2 linked regions of the Oreochromis niloticus genome follow. The protein of the gene in region 1 interacts with the protein of each later gene in a pairwise test. Links are inferred from orthologs where the notes say so. Each region holds a gene or a part of one and is shown on either strand. Other genes may lie near its edges.

Evidence for each region. The genes of interacting proteins can lie anywhere in the genome.
Region 2: the proteins of arrestin red cell (region 1) and agtr1b interact in a two-hybrid assay, tested with the Homo sapiens proteins (2 studies listed by BioGRID and IntAct, with this or other methods). The link is inferred for Oreochromis niloticus from reciprocal best matches to the Homo sapiens genes ARRB2 and AGTR1.

What each region holds. Positions count from the first base shown.
Region 1 is NC_031975.2:31,921,830-31,929,000, reverse strand, and holds the start of arrestin red cell, read right to left. Parts: upstream 3,022-7,171; 5' UTR 2,632-3,021; coding exon 2,609-2,631; intron 1-2,608. UniProt on the Homo sapiens protein: Functions in regulating agonist-mediated G-protein coupled receptor (GPCR) signaling by mediating both receptor desensitization and resensitization processes.
Region 2 is NC_031974.2:17,755,569-17,762,542, reverse strand, and holds the start of agtr1b (type-1 angiotensin II receptor), read right to left. Parts: upstream 3,010-6,974; 5' UTR 2,745-3,009; coding exon 2,708-2,744; intron 1-2,707. UniProt on the Homo sapiens protein: Receptor for angiotensin II, a vasoconstricting peptide, which acts as a key regulator of blood pressure and sodium retention by the kidney.

The DNA of each region.
Region 1 (7,171 bases):
TTAAAAGCAGGCTGAAGAACAGGAAGTGCATCACTGTTTGTTTCCAGCTAAAAATAACACCACCACTTTTTTTTTCTTTTTTTTTTTTGCAAAAAGAAATGATTTGCCTGCATTTGCATGCAGAGCAAATACACACTGCTACTTTCCCTCTGCACTTTCATCTCGGTCTCTGCAGCATGAAGAGGGTCAGGGCTGGGTCAGCCATTTTTGATAATAATAAAAACAACAACCAGACATGAATAATAATAATTAGAAGTTTGAGCTGTAACAATAATTCCAGATATCTAAACTTCACGCTGACCACAGAAACAGCTGGAGCTTTGAGAGCAGCCAACTTTGTGTTTACACGAAAAATGTGGCAACAAGGGACAAAGTCAGTGTCATTTGTTGATCTGTGGGAGTCGCTGAGAACCACCACCAGACTTCTCTTACAAAACCAGCAACTCTTACATGAAAACAGGGTCGAGTTTATGCAACGCACCATTTCCGATATGACTAAATACATTAAGAACACCAAAGTCATGCAGCAGCAAGAACTAAGCAGCTGAGCGAGCTGTAAACAAGCAGCTCACGTGTTTTGTGACATAAAATTGCTGTTTTGTGAATGAGTCTGGTAAAGCGTAACGGCTTCACGTCCTTGACACAGGTGTTGAAGATGATCTCAATACAACAGCCAATTAAAACGGATTCTTTTAGCCATGCAAAATCTGACACACTGCGGTAAACAACTGGAAGCAAAGCGTGAAATAACAGTTTTCCTGAGCCGTCGCCTCTGAAGGAGAGGCTTTTTTGTCTATAATGTAACACACAGACAAAATATCAGGATGTGATCGGTTCTAGCTGGCTCATCGCTACACCTCACAGCCACACTTACTAATCTACTCATACAAAACTCAAGGAGAAGAGCTTCACGGCTGTCAGTACAAAAGGTGAAAGGTCAAAGAGAGAAAAACTTTCCACTGCTGGCTGGTGTTTTGCAAAGAGTCAAAGTGCCACAGAGCCACTCGACATGCAGCTTCGATGTATAATCTGTTAACAGCGGCTCGAGCGTGAATGTCAGAGAGACCCATTTCTTCAACAGCTATGACGTTGGTCTTTCCTCCTGCCCGTTTCCTCTCCTCCCAGTTTTCCACCTGCTTCCTAACAGGAAGTAACTGGCAGGAAAGTTAAGCTGCAAGTGGAATGGGCTGGGCTGACTCGCAACCCCCCGGTTAGAGGAAAATCCATCAAAAACAGCAGCGATGATCAGCATTTTATAGTGAAAAGCTGCTAACACATGAGGAAACGGATCATTTTTGTGTGCATGAAAGCTGTACATCCAACAAACCTTCACCTCACAGAGGAGAAACATGCAGGATGTGGATGTAAACAGCCTGAAGCAGTCAGCACTTTAACCTCATTTTCAGCAGATGGAGTAAAGGAAAGAGCTGAACCTGACTTTAAAGGCCCTGTATTCCTATCACATTACGACAGGACGGGATCTGATGAGCATAACAGTCATTCCTCATCATTAGTCTTATTTTTGTGTGTTGGATTAATGCAGTTAAGCCCTCTGGGTCTCTTCTGTTAATCGGGATCTGCAGAAGAAGGAATAAAGGAGAAAACATGGGAAGGAAAGCTGATCCACAGCAGTGCTAACCCAATTAACTGAGGGTGTAAACACACAAAAAAGGGAAGGGGGGGCATCCTGAGCTTTAAAGAAACCACAATCACTTTGTGTCGATGTGCTGTGCCTACAAACCGAGTGTATCGGCCCGAAACAGGAACCAGAACTCACAGATGCCCGAAAACGAAAGCTCCATTCTCTTTAAAATACATTTACAGCTAACTGGCATGAACCTGCGGTACCAGAAACCCGAAATAAGCCCGTGATGGAGGCAAGTGAACCTAAATAGCCCACCAATACGCTCCTTCGTACCAAATTCCATTCAAAAACACTTCATTTTAACATTTCGCCCCTGGTTAACGAGAATACACAACACTCTAATATTTTACGTTACATAAAAGCTGACTGTAAACATTGGAACTGAATCGAACAAGAATAAGCTCCATAATTTAAACAAATCTCAAGTTAAAATGCTGTTTTTCAGGTTACATGTCGATACCGCCCACTAACGTTTCAGCGGTATTTTACTGGACAAACACCGTGGGAATTCCTCTTTAAAACACCCAAATGTGGTGTAAAATCACCCGAATATCGTGCCGTTTTTTTTCTTTGTGTTAGAGTAAGCGGTGGGCGTTAACAGTTGATCATTTTTCGTGTGCTTTTCAGTCAGACGGAAACGTTAGCGTAATGTTGAAAATTGACAGATTTCTGAGCGGACGCTGGAACGCCGTCCCGTCCACCACAGCCGCGGATAGCTAACCCCACCCTGCTGTGCTAACTTCGCCTCCTGCGAACGAGGTCATCGCTCTGAGAGTTCTGGACCAGAACCAGAGGGCTCGCTCGCTGGTCCCGGCCCGGGTCTAGCTAATTAAGCGGGTAAATCTCTGATGCTCGGGCTGAGAGCAGAAACTCCTCCGCCTGGGCCACTAGCACGGCTGCTAGCAAAGTGCGTGAGAACCGACGCTAAACCGCAGCTAGCCGTTCATAGCCTAGCCGTCCTACCTGGTGCCCGCCTTGTCCCCCATCTCCTCTGCAGGCGGACGGCAGGAAGATCCCAACAAAATGAGGCCGGACTCGTAGGTGTCTTGACTTTAAAAACGGAGGCTTTTCTTCAGCCTGCTCCCCTCACATCGGCGCACAGAGAACTAGTTAGTATGGTAATTTGATTTAGCGCCGCCTCGGCTCTCCGCTGGCTTCCGCAAAGGCAGCAGCTCCCCCTCCCCTCTGCTTGTTTGTGCGCGCTCTGCTGTCTCTGTGAGGACCCGCTGCGAAATAAAACAGCAGCGAGCTAATCCAGCTGCTTTACAGGCTGACCGAGGGTTTACTGCTGCTTCAAAGTCCATTCATAGTTTGGCATAAATGATTCTTAAACCTGCGGTGCAGCGCAGACTCTGTGCTAACACCGGCCATTCAATGTTAAACAGAGCAGGAGATGATTCACATTAAACAGCCTGACATGTTTAAGGTTCACCGCAATCCAGGGCCGTGTTACCTACAAGGCTTCGGATTTCCCGGACCCTCAGGGGCCCCCAGGAGTCCTCCACATGAAGCAATACAGAAATCAGGGAGTTGCTTATCTTTACTGTAGCTGATGTTTTTTTCCCAATAACACACCAGAAAACACAGTATGACCAAAATTTACAAAACAGACTCCTATTTTTTTTTTTTTTTAAAAGACACAAAACAAGTAGCAGAGCCCAAAAACTCTGAATGACTTATTCCCAAGTCGTCTATTGAGGTCTTGCAGTCACATGATCACCAACCACATGGTTTTAACTTGTCCATCATCTGAGACATGATGTCCTTACAGACTGGTCTGCAACTGTTTGGCCACCACTGCTCAGTCGTGAGAGAAAAGTGTATTCCCCAACTGGTCAGTGATTGCTTTGGTTGCTATCGAGTTGCTGCAATCATCCGTGGTTTGCATGCAACACGCCAATGTGTCTGCAAAGCTGTGAAAAAAAGCAACACAAAGAGAAATGTCGAACATTTACCTTCAAAGTGAAATTTGTGCCTTCTGACACATATCGGCATGGTTCTGAGCCATCGCTTGTACTTTGAAGGCGACCCTTCTCTGGTTTGCACCAGATTATTTCAGGTTTCACCAACCATTCAGGGAATACATACTTTGCCCTAATGTGTATCACCTCAAATATTGCAGACCACTCTGGAGGAATGTAGACTGACATCATGTGACAAGCCTCTATGGGACTGGAGGTCTTTTTATGCAACCACAGTTATTGCCATCTGGTGGCCTTCAGGTAGAACACGGGTTTAAGACACGTGCTTCATTTTTCCAACCTGTTCTGCTGGGCTTCACCTCACCTTATCCAAGTCCCTGACCAATAAACTACACGGTTTCAGGCTTTACGGAGCAGAGCCCACAGACTAAAGCAGTGAAGTCACAGTGACTATGTTCAACCTTCATCCAGAGGCCACGGTCGGAGAAAAGCCTTCAGGGCTGCTCTTGAAGGAAGCCCTTTTTCACCACTGCAAAAAATGCCACTCTGCCACTAGAAAAAATAAAAACATGACATCTGTAAATCACAATTTTGGGCTATTGTCTTCAAATTTGGACTTATTAAAACAACATTTCTTGAGTTACTGAGTGTCAGACTAACCCTAACCCTAGTTTTGAGTTATTAGGTTGAAATTTAAATGAAGTGTTAAAGACGAGCTTCCATAGTTCCTCCATAGATGTTAATGTTCTTCTGAGCTGCTGTTGGAACAGTCTGTGCGCTGTAAAAGTACATGCAGGCTTTTGCCCTATGACGTCACTGCAGGACATTTGCAAGTTAAGCCTGCAGCTTGTGCAGTTAAAGATTAGATGTTGTCACCTCCTTCCAGACTTAACACGCATTTCACAACTTGAAACTATTTTGCAACTAATTTCTGATATTATCAGCTGCAGCATCAGAAGACCGAGCATCAACTGGGATGTTTCATCATTTAAGTTTTTAAACACGAATGCAGTGGTACAATAAAAAAAACAACTTATTTCTTATCACACAGGAATTTGTTCATGTGCCACTTTTAGAACATTTAATCCCAAAATAAATTAAAAAACGGTCTCGATGAAGTCACCTGGTCAGTCACCTGGATGACTTCTTCAGTCTCAGCTGACTGCAGGTTTGTTCAGTCACCTGTGTAACAATCAAAACCACAGCATCACATAACATGAGATATGTTTTATGATCATGCAGACTGCCGTGACCTATTGGAAGGAGACCCGTGGTCAGCACAGACTTAAGAAAGTCACCTGGATGAATGAAAAATAGATTTTGCTGTTTATTCTGTTGAATTTCTTGACATATCAAAAGTATACCCACTGTTAGCTGGATGGCTGCCCAGAGTCCCCCCTGTACAAACCTTAGATAGAATAAGAAGATACCTCAGTAGCAAACATGTTTATACCATATTTCTATTAACCTCATTAACACACTCATATTAGTTAGTTTGATGCTTAAGGCTGCGTACTTTCACTCTAGGCTGAGTCTGTTGGTTTATTGGCTTTGGTGCATTTTAGGAAACTTTCATTCATCAGATAAACTCTCTGCTCTCAGACTAAAGGCGTTGCCACAGCAAGAGGAATGGGAAAACCCCACTCCCTTCTTCTGGGAAAGTATAATAAAATTATAGTTGTTTGAACTAATTGCATTACTTGATAAATTGTGTCCTTAGATACACCAACAAAATTTCCATTTTCCTGAAAGTTCTTATTAATTACCGAGGGGTCCCTGTGGAATAACAGGATGCTGCTCATATCTGGAGGTTTGTTTCCTTTGACACTGAACAGGCGGCGCACTCGAGAGGAGTGGAGTCACAGAGCACGCATCGCCACACACTCACTCAGTTTTCGAGGGCTTCATAACCCACTTAACACTAATTGGGTTGGAATGGCACTCCATGTGGTGGACCCTCCACATGAACACGAGACGGTAGCTTAAAGGTAGCTCTTGTGCTGCCTACATGTGCTAACAACATCTGCTTTCAAAGGTCTGTCCTTCTAGTTTCTGCACAACACAAGGTTTGGATCAGAACGTTCCTCATTGGAGTGTAAGGACTAACACGTTTATTTGAAGCTAGACAAAAACAAAGACACTTTACTCGATTCATCTAGAGCTAACAGTTGGTTCTTTTTGAACAGAAATATTTTATCCTGAATAAGCCCCAAAAGTTGGTTTTCCAACAGTGAAACCAATACAGAAGTGCCTTAAACCTGTATTCTTTTTAATGGCCACCAGGGGGCCAATGAATTCTGGTCCTGTGGACTGTTATCCAACCTAGTGAGCCGGGATGGTACTGCAGGTGTAATAGAAATTCAGTTTTAATTTACTTACAAAGTACAATTACATATTTATATGAATTTATGTGAACTTGAACTGGTACGAGAAGTTTGTGTCCTAGTGACAGATGGGTCACGTTAGCCTTAACATTTTGCATATAAACTGCCAATTCTAATGGGTAGCATTAGCAGTTTATAGCCAACAGACTGATTTTGAATAAAATTGTCATGTTAATGCATCACTCTCTCACGCTTTGATCAGAGTGGAGCTTTGAGATTGGGATTTTCTGGTTTTGCAGCACTCCTGACTTTGGGAATCGCTGCTCTAACTCATCGACTTCTGCAAGGTAAGAATGGTGACCTAAACAGAGGCTTCATCACATGTGCCAAGGTGGTTTCGCCCTTAACCCCCACTGATGGTAATGACCCATGCCAGCGACTGTCAGGATCAACTCCAAACAGGTTAAATACCTGGGACTCTCCAGCTTTTGTTTTAGAACTTTAGAAGCTCCTTGGATGAGACGTGACATGTCTTTACAAACATAAAGAAGTCACGCTGCTGTTTTTTCCCCAAACTTTAGGACGAGCAAAGACAAACAATGTCAGATTAAACCAGTTACATCAGCATAAACAGCAGCTGGAGGAATTGACCAGATTAAACTTTAGTTTGAACTTCAGTAAAAAGAACACAAGAACTAAAAACATCCATCTTCATCCGCTTTATCCGAGGCCGGGTCGCGGGGGCAGCAGCCTAAGCAGAGAAGCCCAGACCTCCCTCTCCCCAGCCACCTCCTCCAGCTTATCCGGGGGAACACCAAGGCGTTCCCAGGCCAGCCGAGAGATATAATCTCTCCAGCGTGTCCTGGGTCTGCCCCGGGGCCTCCTCCCGGTGGGACATGCCCGGAACACCTCACCCAGGAGGCGCCCAGGAGGCATCCTTGTCAGATGCCCGAACCACCTCAACTGGCTCCTTTCGATGTGGAGGAGCAGCGGCTCTACTCTGAGCCCCTCCCGGATGGCCAAACTTCTCACCCTATCTCTAAGGGAGAGGCCAGCCACCCTTCGGAGGAAGCTCATTTCTGCCGCTTGTATCCGCGATCTCGTTCTTTCGGTCACTACCCACAGCTCGTGGCCATAGGTGAGGGTCGGGACGTAGATCGACCGGTAAATTGAGAGCTTCGCTTTTACACTCAGCTCCCTCTTCACCACGACGGACCGGTGCAGCGTCCGCATCACTGCAGCCGCAGCACCAATCCGTCTGTCGATCTCCGGCTCCCTTC
Region 2 (6,974 bases), on another chromosome or scaffold:
ATTTCAGTCTGTTCACTTTCCCATCTGATGGCGCTCCATAGCGAGACTGTGCGTCCTGGAAAGATGTCTGTCGACTTCAGGTCTCTTTCGTCACAACACTCCATAACTCTCCTAACTCCCCACAGAGAAGACGGGGAGCAATAATGATGGAGATTTGCAGCATGGCGTTTGTAGGCACTTCAGAAACTATTAAAATACAGTTCCAATATTGGGCGCCAATACAAAGGTGGAATGCTCAAAAGGGGCTGTTGTATTATCTGGGTACTTGCAAGAGTTTGAAGACTTGAAAGACAGTTATCATGAGTGAATCATGATAATAAGAGTTGGAAGGATTTCTGTCAATTAAATTTGAAGAAGTAAGACATATTGCTGCTGCACGCCGCCCCAACAAAAAGCCAGTGGTTGTTAACAAGATCCCCAAATCAGATCTCAAAGAATCTTTATGCTTGCGAAACTAACAAGCCCAAAGTTTCCTCCTAAATTTAGATATTCTTACTTTTGATTGACTTTGTGTCATTCCATAAACACACCAGTGAAATAATATAGATTTTGAGTTTAAGTCAGCCTTTACACAATGTTCACTTTTCCCAAAGTGGTGGTTTCTCACCAACAGAGTCAACAACTAACTGAATAAGCAAATGGTACTCAGCGGATAATTTTGCTTACAATGTTCCGGAGGCATATGATTAGAATATTAATTAGGCCCATCTATGACGGTCAGATAATAACAATGTCAGTGGGCTGAAAGGATTCTGTGACCTGTAAAAGGGCTATTCACAATCTCCAGTCTGCCATAGTTCATTCTTTTGGCCACAAGCAGCAGACTTTTTCACACCATTTCTAAACATTCTCATTGCCGTGAGCTGGAACACTGTGGAGGAAGTATGTCAAGAAATACAAATATGTTGAAAACTGCACGTTTTATGTCAAACACAATTGCAATTCATAGCTCATTAGAAAGTTTTTTTCTATGATTTATTTGGAGTTTTTGCCCCAAAACTTCCAGTTAATGTTCATCCTCCTTGTAAAGGAGTTAACTTGGCATTATTTGGGTTTTAATTACATGACACGGATCAGAAACATCAAAGCAGAGGAAACATCCGACTGCAGCCACAGATGATGTTCACTTGTTCCCAAAGAATCAGTGATACTTTTTACTGAAAATCTCCACCAAATGTCCACCAGAAATTCATACTGACGAAAAGGAAAGAAAAGGCATTGGAATGAAGACGTCTGCAACTTTCTGTTGAAAATAGCATGATCAGAACCCCCGGTGCAAAGTGTATCCCTTGTTCGCCCTGTAAATGTGAGAGCATTACTCATGTTGTGTCCCTTGGGACATCAGTGGGATGCCTCTGTTAGACATTTTGCTGTACGGACTACTTACAGCACTTAAAAAACAAAGCCAATAAAAACATGACATCCTTACAATGACTAAAAAGAGGGCTTTCAAGGGTCAGTAGGTTCATTGTACGTATTAGTGTTAAGTCTCTTGAGAAAAGGCAGGATAAGCTTTTTGCTTTTTTTTCTGTCTTGAGCTTCCACCCCGTAAAACGAGAAAGATCAGCCATCTCAATCTATGTACAATCAGCAAGAAGAGGTTTTTAAAAAAAGTTTAGTGTTATGATTTTCAGATGCACGTTTCTGGATGTGGAACTTATTTCTAGACAATCAAATTATAATCAGAATGTATTTTCTAACTCGACTGACTTCCAGTAGAAACTTGAAACTCTTAAGGTCAAATGAAGCAGCCTTAATATTCATTCATTATGATGACAAAGTCGATGGTGTGTCATGCACTTGCATAGTTTTCTCAATTGGAAAAAAAATGGCACTGCACAACGTTTTCAAAGTAAAGTTTGAACTGATAATCAAGTAGAGTGCTCTCCATCAAGGCTCGGGTAGCAAATAAACAACCCAAACTGAGAAACGGATATAAAACACCCCTTTTTGATAGCTGTGGGAGAAAGAAAACATGTTTGTTTCTTGATTTAACTATTTAAAAAAACAATATTTTAGTGGTTCACTTGGGGTCTCTTAAGGTGCTCTTTGTTGCTTGTTTACTTGCCCATTGCAGTACCGATCCTGTTGTTGGGTTTCATGTTTAAGTAATCTCGTGTAAATGGGGAAAAAAGCTGTTTAACACTGGTCGTGTCTTACTTATTTGACCAAGTATAACCAGAATTTGATGTTCATTTCAGGTAAATTGTAGAAAATCATTAAATAAATCACTACCTTTAACAAGGCTAGACTTGGAAATATTGGGGGGTTTTTTTGCTTTGAAAATAACCATTAACCCATTTTCTGACCTTTAATATTTGTCACTTGAGATTTAGCTTTGAAAGGCACCACGAGGCACCAGAGCACAGTCAGGTCTACTATGAAGGTAAGCAAATTAGCACAAATTCTAAAACATGGAACTACAGGAGCTACATATAGTGCTCTGAGCTATATTTCTTTAGGATTAACTCCCCAGAGAGTGGTGGGCATAAAATCAAACCATCATTGCCCCTAAAAAATTAAATCTTTGTGAACTGAGTCAAAGAGGCATTTTGTCTCCTCATTTCAGGACCACTTAGTGTTGTACTAGAATCACTGGGCTGGCAGGCATGTGGCTAGTGGCAGTGGACTGCGGTGAATGAGTTAAATCAGTCTCTCGTAAACTCGACCCTGTGTCGTCACAAGAGGAAAGAGGCCAAAGACTCACGCAATGAGGGTAATCCAACAGTGAGCTGGTGTGGCATCGTTGTTTCCCGCTGGTCCCAGAAAGGCTCAAATAACTCCCATGTGCACCCAAGGAGAGCAGAGGACAGGCATACATCAGAGGGGGAGCTGGAGGTTGAAGGAGTGTGGATTTATCTTGGAGTGTCACAGAGATGCTCCGATTGCAGTCTCCACCTTGTTGCGTTGCTGTCATCAATTCTGCCAATACTGGAGCCATTGACTGTTGAGGTGATGGCTCTGTGTATAGTCTGCTGTCAGAGAGATTGGTAGCCACAAAATTAGATCTGCCCAACTCTTCTTATATATATATATATATATATATATATATAGATAGATAGATAGATAGATAGATAGATAGATAGATAGATAGATATATATATATCACTAACACGACAAATACTACAAAAAAAGTTCTTTTGTTTTTATAATTAGGTCTATATAATTAAGTAATACTTAAATAATTTTCATCCTCTTGTTATTGTTTTAAGGAAATTTAATGACAGATAAAAAAAAATAATTGGGGTTAGAAACAAAGTTGGAGCTGCTTTGTCCTCTGCTTATTGGTGGTTGGTGGTTCAAATTCTCCAGTCCAGTTGTCAGAAGGTAGATACTGACCCGAATGCATCCTTATAGAAATTCATTGTATAAAAAATAAAAACAGCAAAAAAAATAAAGATTACGATAATACTGATACATGCAGATTAGGTCCTCCCCTTGACTTAGCACTGTGATACTTTCCTGATTAAAAGGTCCTGGTAAGGTTGCCATTGATGCGGTCTAGTTGCTGGTAGACTTTTCTCAGCTTCAATCTACCACTTTATAATGAACTTAATAGTTTTTCAACATAAACAGTTTTGATATCCTGTTGAAATAGGACTAATTCTCTAATCTATTAACGTTACTGACAGGCAAGACTAATCTTGTCTGGCTCAAACATTAATGTTATTGTTTACTTATTAGCCATAGCTGCTAGTCACTATCTTAATGATAACTTAAAAGACAGCTAATGTGGGTAATTGCAAAACAGATAAATGGGGCTAACGTTAACACGTGTACCGGCCAGCTTAATGTTTACGACAACTGTTTAATACTTTGATATTGCTGAAACAGAAGCTATACTGATGACAGGAAAATCTTTGTACAGACCAGAGTGTCACTTTTTAAGATGCTTTGTCAAGTTGGTTGTGCTGCTGTTCATGTGTTTAGCTGCTAGAGAAGAGATGGGCTGTAGGAAGTTGTGGGTAAACTACATAAGGTGAAGACGGCACTGTTGCCATCAATACTGTTGCAAATGAGTCTCTAATCTGATAATGATCTTTAATACAAATCACTATCCAAGTACCTTTTTCTACACTGTACACATGCTACCTATCATAGCTATTGTTTTTTTGTGTGACATTCCTGGTAATTACAGCCCACTAGCCTTATTACGTTTATGAAATTTGGCAGCACATGTTGCATCATTTTTGCTTACAAATAATGGACTACTAAAATTTCCAGAGTTTCATTGATACTGTTTAAAAATAATTCTAAAGAATTTTCAGCCGATAAAAGCACACCATATTTTATTGTTTTACATTTTTGTAATACTTAACTGTCAAGTATCTCTATTCACTTATAGCAGCAAATGTTATATTCGAGTAATTTGTCCTCTGCAGTGGTTTTGGTTATTCGTTTGAGCTTTAGATTTCTCCAAGCTGCCTCTCTGTCCTCCAATGAGAGAGAAGTGCCAGTCAAAGTGGGAGCCTTACTGCTGTCCAACATTAAAATAGAAGCCTTGAGTGGTCTGTCTGGGCCGTGACGGGAGTTGGAGGTGTGAGTGCTCCAACCAGCAGCCACCACCTGCTTTGCTTGTTCATGCTGTCTTTGGTGCCCTTTTTTGGTGTGTGCAGAGTCTTAAAGAGTTTAGCTATGCCTTTGATGCCTTCTTTGATTTTTAGAATATGCACGGGATCAATAAGGAACACAGACTTCAAAGCTCAGGCACCCTTCACCTGCTGCTGGTCACCATTTCTGAAGTGTTTCCAATCACATACAGAGACTAAACAAACAGTTAGCAGGGGCTGGTTGGACACTGACTTCATGATCAATGAAAACTAATACTCGTGTAGAAAAACTTGGCAGCGTGATCAGACTAAAGTAAATATTTTAGCCCCTTGAGGTTTATTTTATTTGAACAAGACATTTCTTTGCATATAAATAAGAAGTCAGGGAAATAAATTTGAAAGTGAGAAGATGCGAGACTCTTAAATATCATTTACAGCCTTAGTTTAGGAGATGTATGCTTATAATTCCACTCTTGAAGCACGTGCACACACACACACACGCACACACTTCAAAGTACTTAGATTAATGCATAATAATCTCCAAGAGCCACAACGGTTTAATAACTCACTCAGATGTCTCTAATATGTCACTCAACCCTCCAACACTAAACATTTGATAATAGTGCTTTTTTTTTTCTTCTCTTTTTCCTCGTACAAATCTAGTAACCTAAGTGGCAGCAAAGTTCAAAGAAGCAGATTGTAATGCATGTTATGGAAATAAACCCGGGGCTGATTATCCTTTAAATCTCTGGCTGCCCCAACCCCCTCTAAAAATGGCTGTCATGATGAAATGACTATCCTTTATTACATTCTTCTCCCTTAATCCTCCTCAATTTATTAGAGGGGGGGTGCCTCGGCACAACAATGCCAAAACTCATTTCCATGGGAGCCCACACGGCATGATGTCCATGAAGGGAGAGACAACTGATTTCCTATGCAAAGGGTCCTTTTGAAAGAGGGAGGGGGCAAGAGAGAGACAACTGATTCTTTTATTGCAAATGACTTCAGTGTTTTGTTTAGGGGGGCTGAGGGTAGTGAAGCCAGCATGACTTCTGCTCACGCACTTTAATTCAGATGATGCAGGTGCATGGCTAATTGCAGGTGTGCTGCTGGCCAGCCTCACCTCGGTCTGTATATCCTCATCCACACACACAGAGACATGCACTCAGATGCTTGGCTTTCTACATAGACATCAGCCAGGTACTGAGAGAATGGATCAGCAAGCACTTCATTTGCATTTCGCCATTCAAACTCTGCTGTAAGTCTGCGAGAAACTGAAGGGCCCTATTCAGAAATCTTAATAGTCTAGTGGATATCACAGTGTGGGAAAGCTAAGCACAAACTTTCTGTGTGAGGAAAATTTACAAAAGACTTACTGTGAACTGTTAGCTTATTGTCCCCGAAAATAAATAATAAGAGGAAATTCAGTTTAGACTCTGAGAGCGATAGCCAAGTCCGGCAGCAAATGTGGAAGAGCGAATCTTTTAACAAAAAGCTTTAATTTCCATTTTGTCCGTTAAACAAGATTTTAACCACCTTCAATTTTTGTCGTGACTCTTTTTAACGTTTAATTTTTGCACTGCGCAATCATTTTTTTCTTCTTCCCCCTTCAACCCTCTCCTCTTGTTCAATTATGCTCTTAAGAAAAACGTGATGTGAGAAATACCGTAAAATTGAGACCAGGAGGGGGGGAAAAAAGAAACTTCTAAATGAAACCTCTCTCTCTCTCTCTCCCAATCCCAAATGAGAGGAAATTACTCATCAAGTGATTATGAAACTGTTGGCATTATAGAAATCAGCGTGAAAGAATAGAGTCAGGAGAAAAAGAGGGAGGGGTTGGCAATTTGTTCTCAATGGACAGCGGATGAAGAGGTGGCAAGTTAAAGTCTCCAATCTGAAGGGTCTCCTTGTAAAGCTAATTCCGGTTAATGGCCGAGGAGCAAGCCTCCACTGTATCTGACATCCTGGCTCCAGGTAATCAGACTGACATTAATGCAGGCTCCAAAAGAGACACCTCGTCATCAGGAATTTTCCTCATTGGCACCGAAAATGCCAGGCTGCACACCTCTGACTGCGTGGCCCCCACATCTATTAACCTTATTGATTTGGAGCCCTGCTGAGCCCCTCCAGAGCTCCCGCCCCCCTGCTGCTGGACTGAAGTGGATCAATCCTACGCCGGGGGCCACAACTCGATAACAACCCAGTGCTCAGAGGCTACTGTTTACAACCTGAAATGAATACACACATAGGTGCTGCTCTGTATATTCTCTGCTCGGCCGTTGACACTTTTTTGGCAATGGTTTAAAAGTTTTAAGAAGTGTTAATTATATCTATAAAAAAATAACTGGTTTAATAAGTGCACACAGATGCCAATATTCACCAGCGTCACTTATATGCTTTTGTTTTGTTTTTTTAAAGAAAACA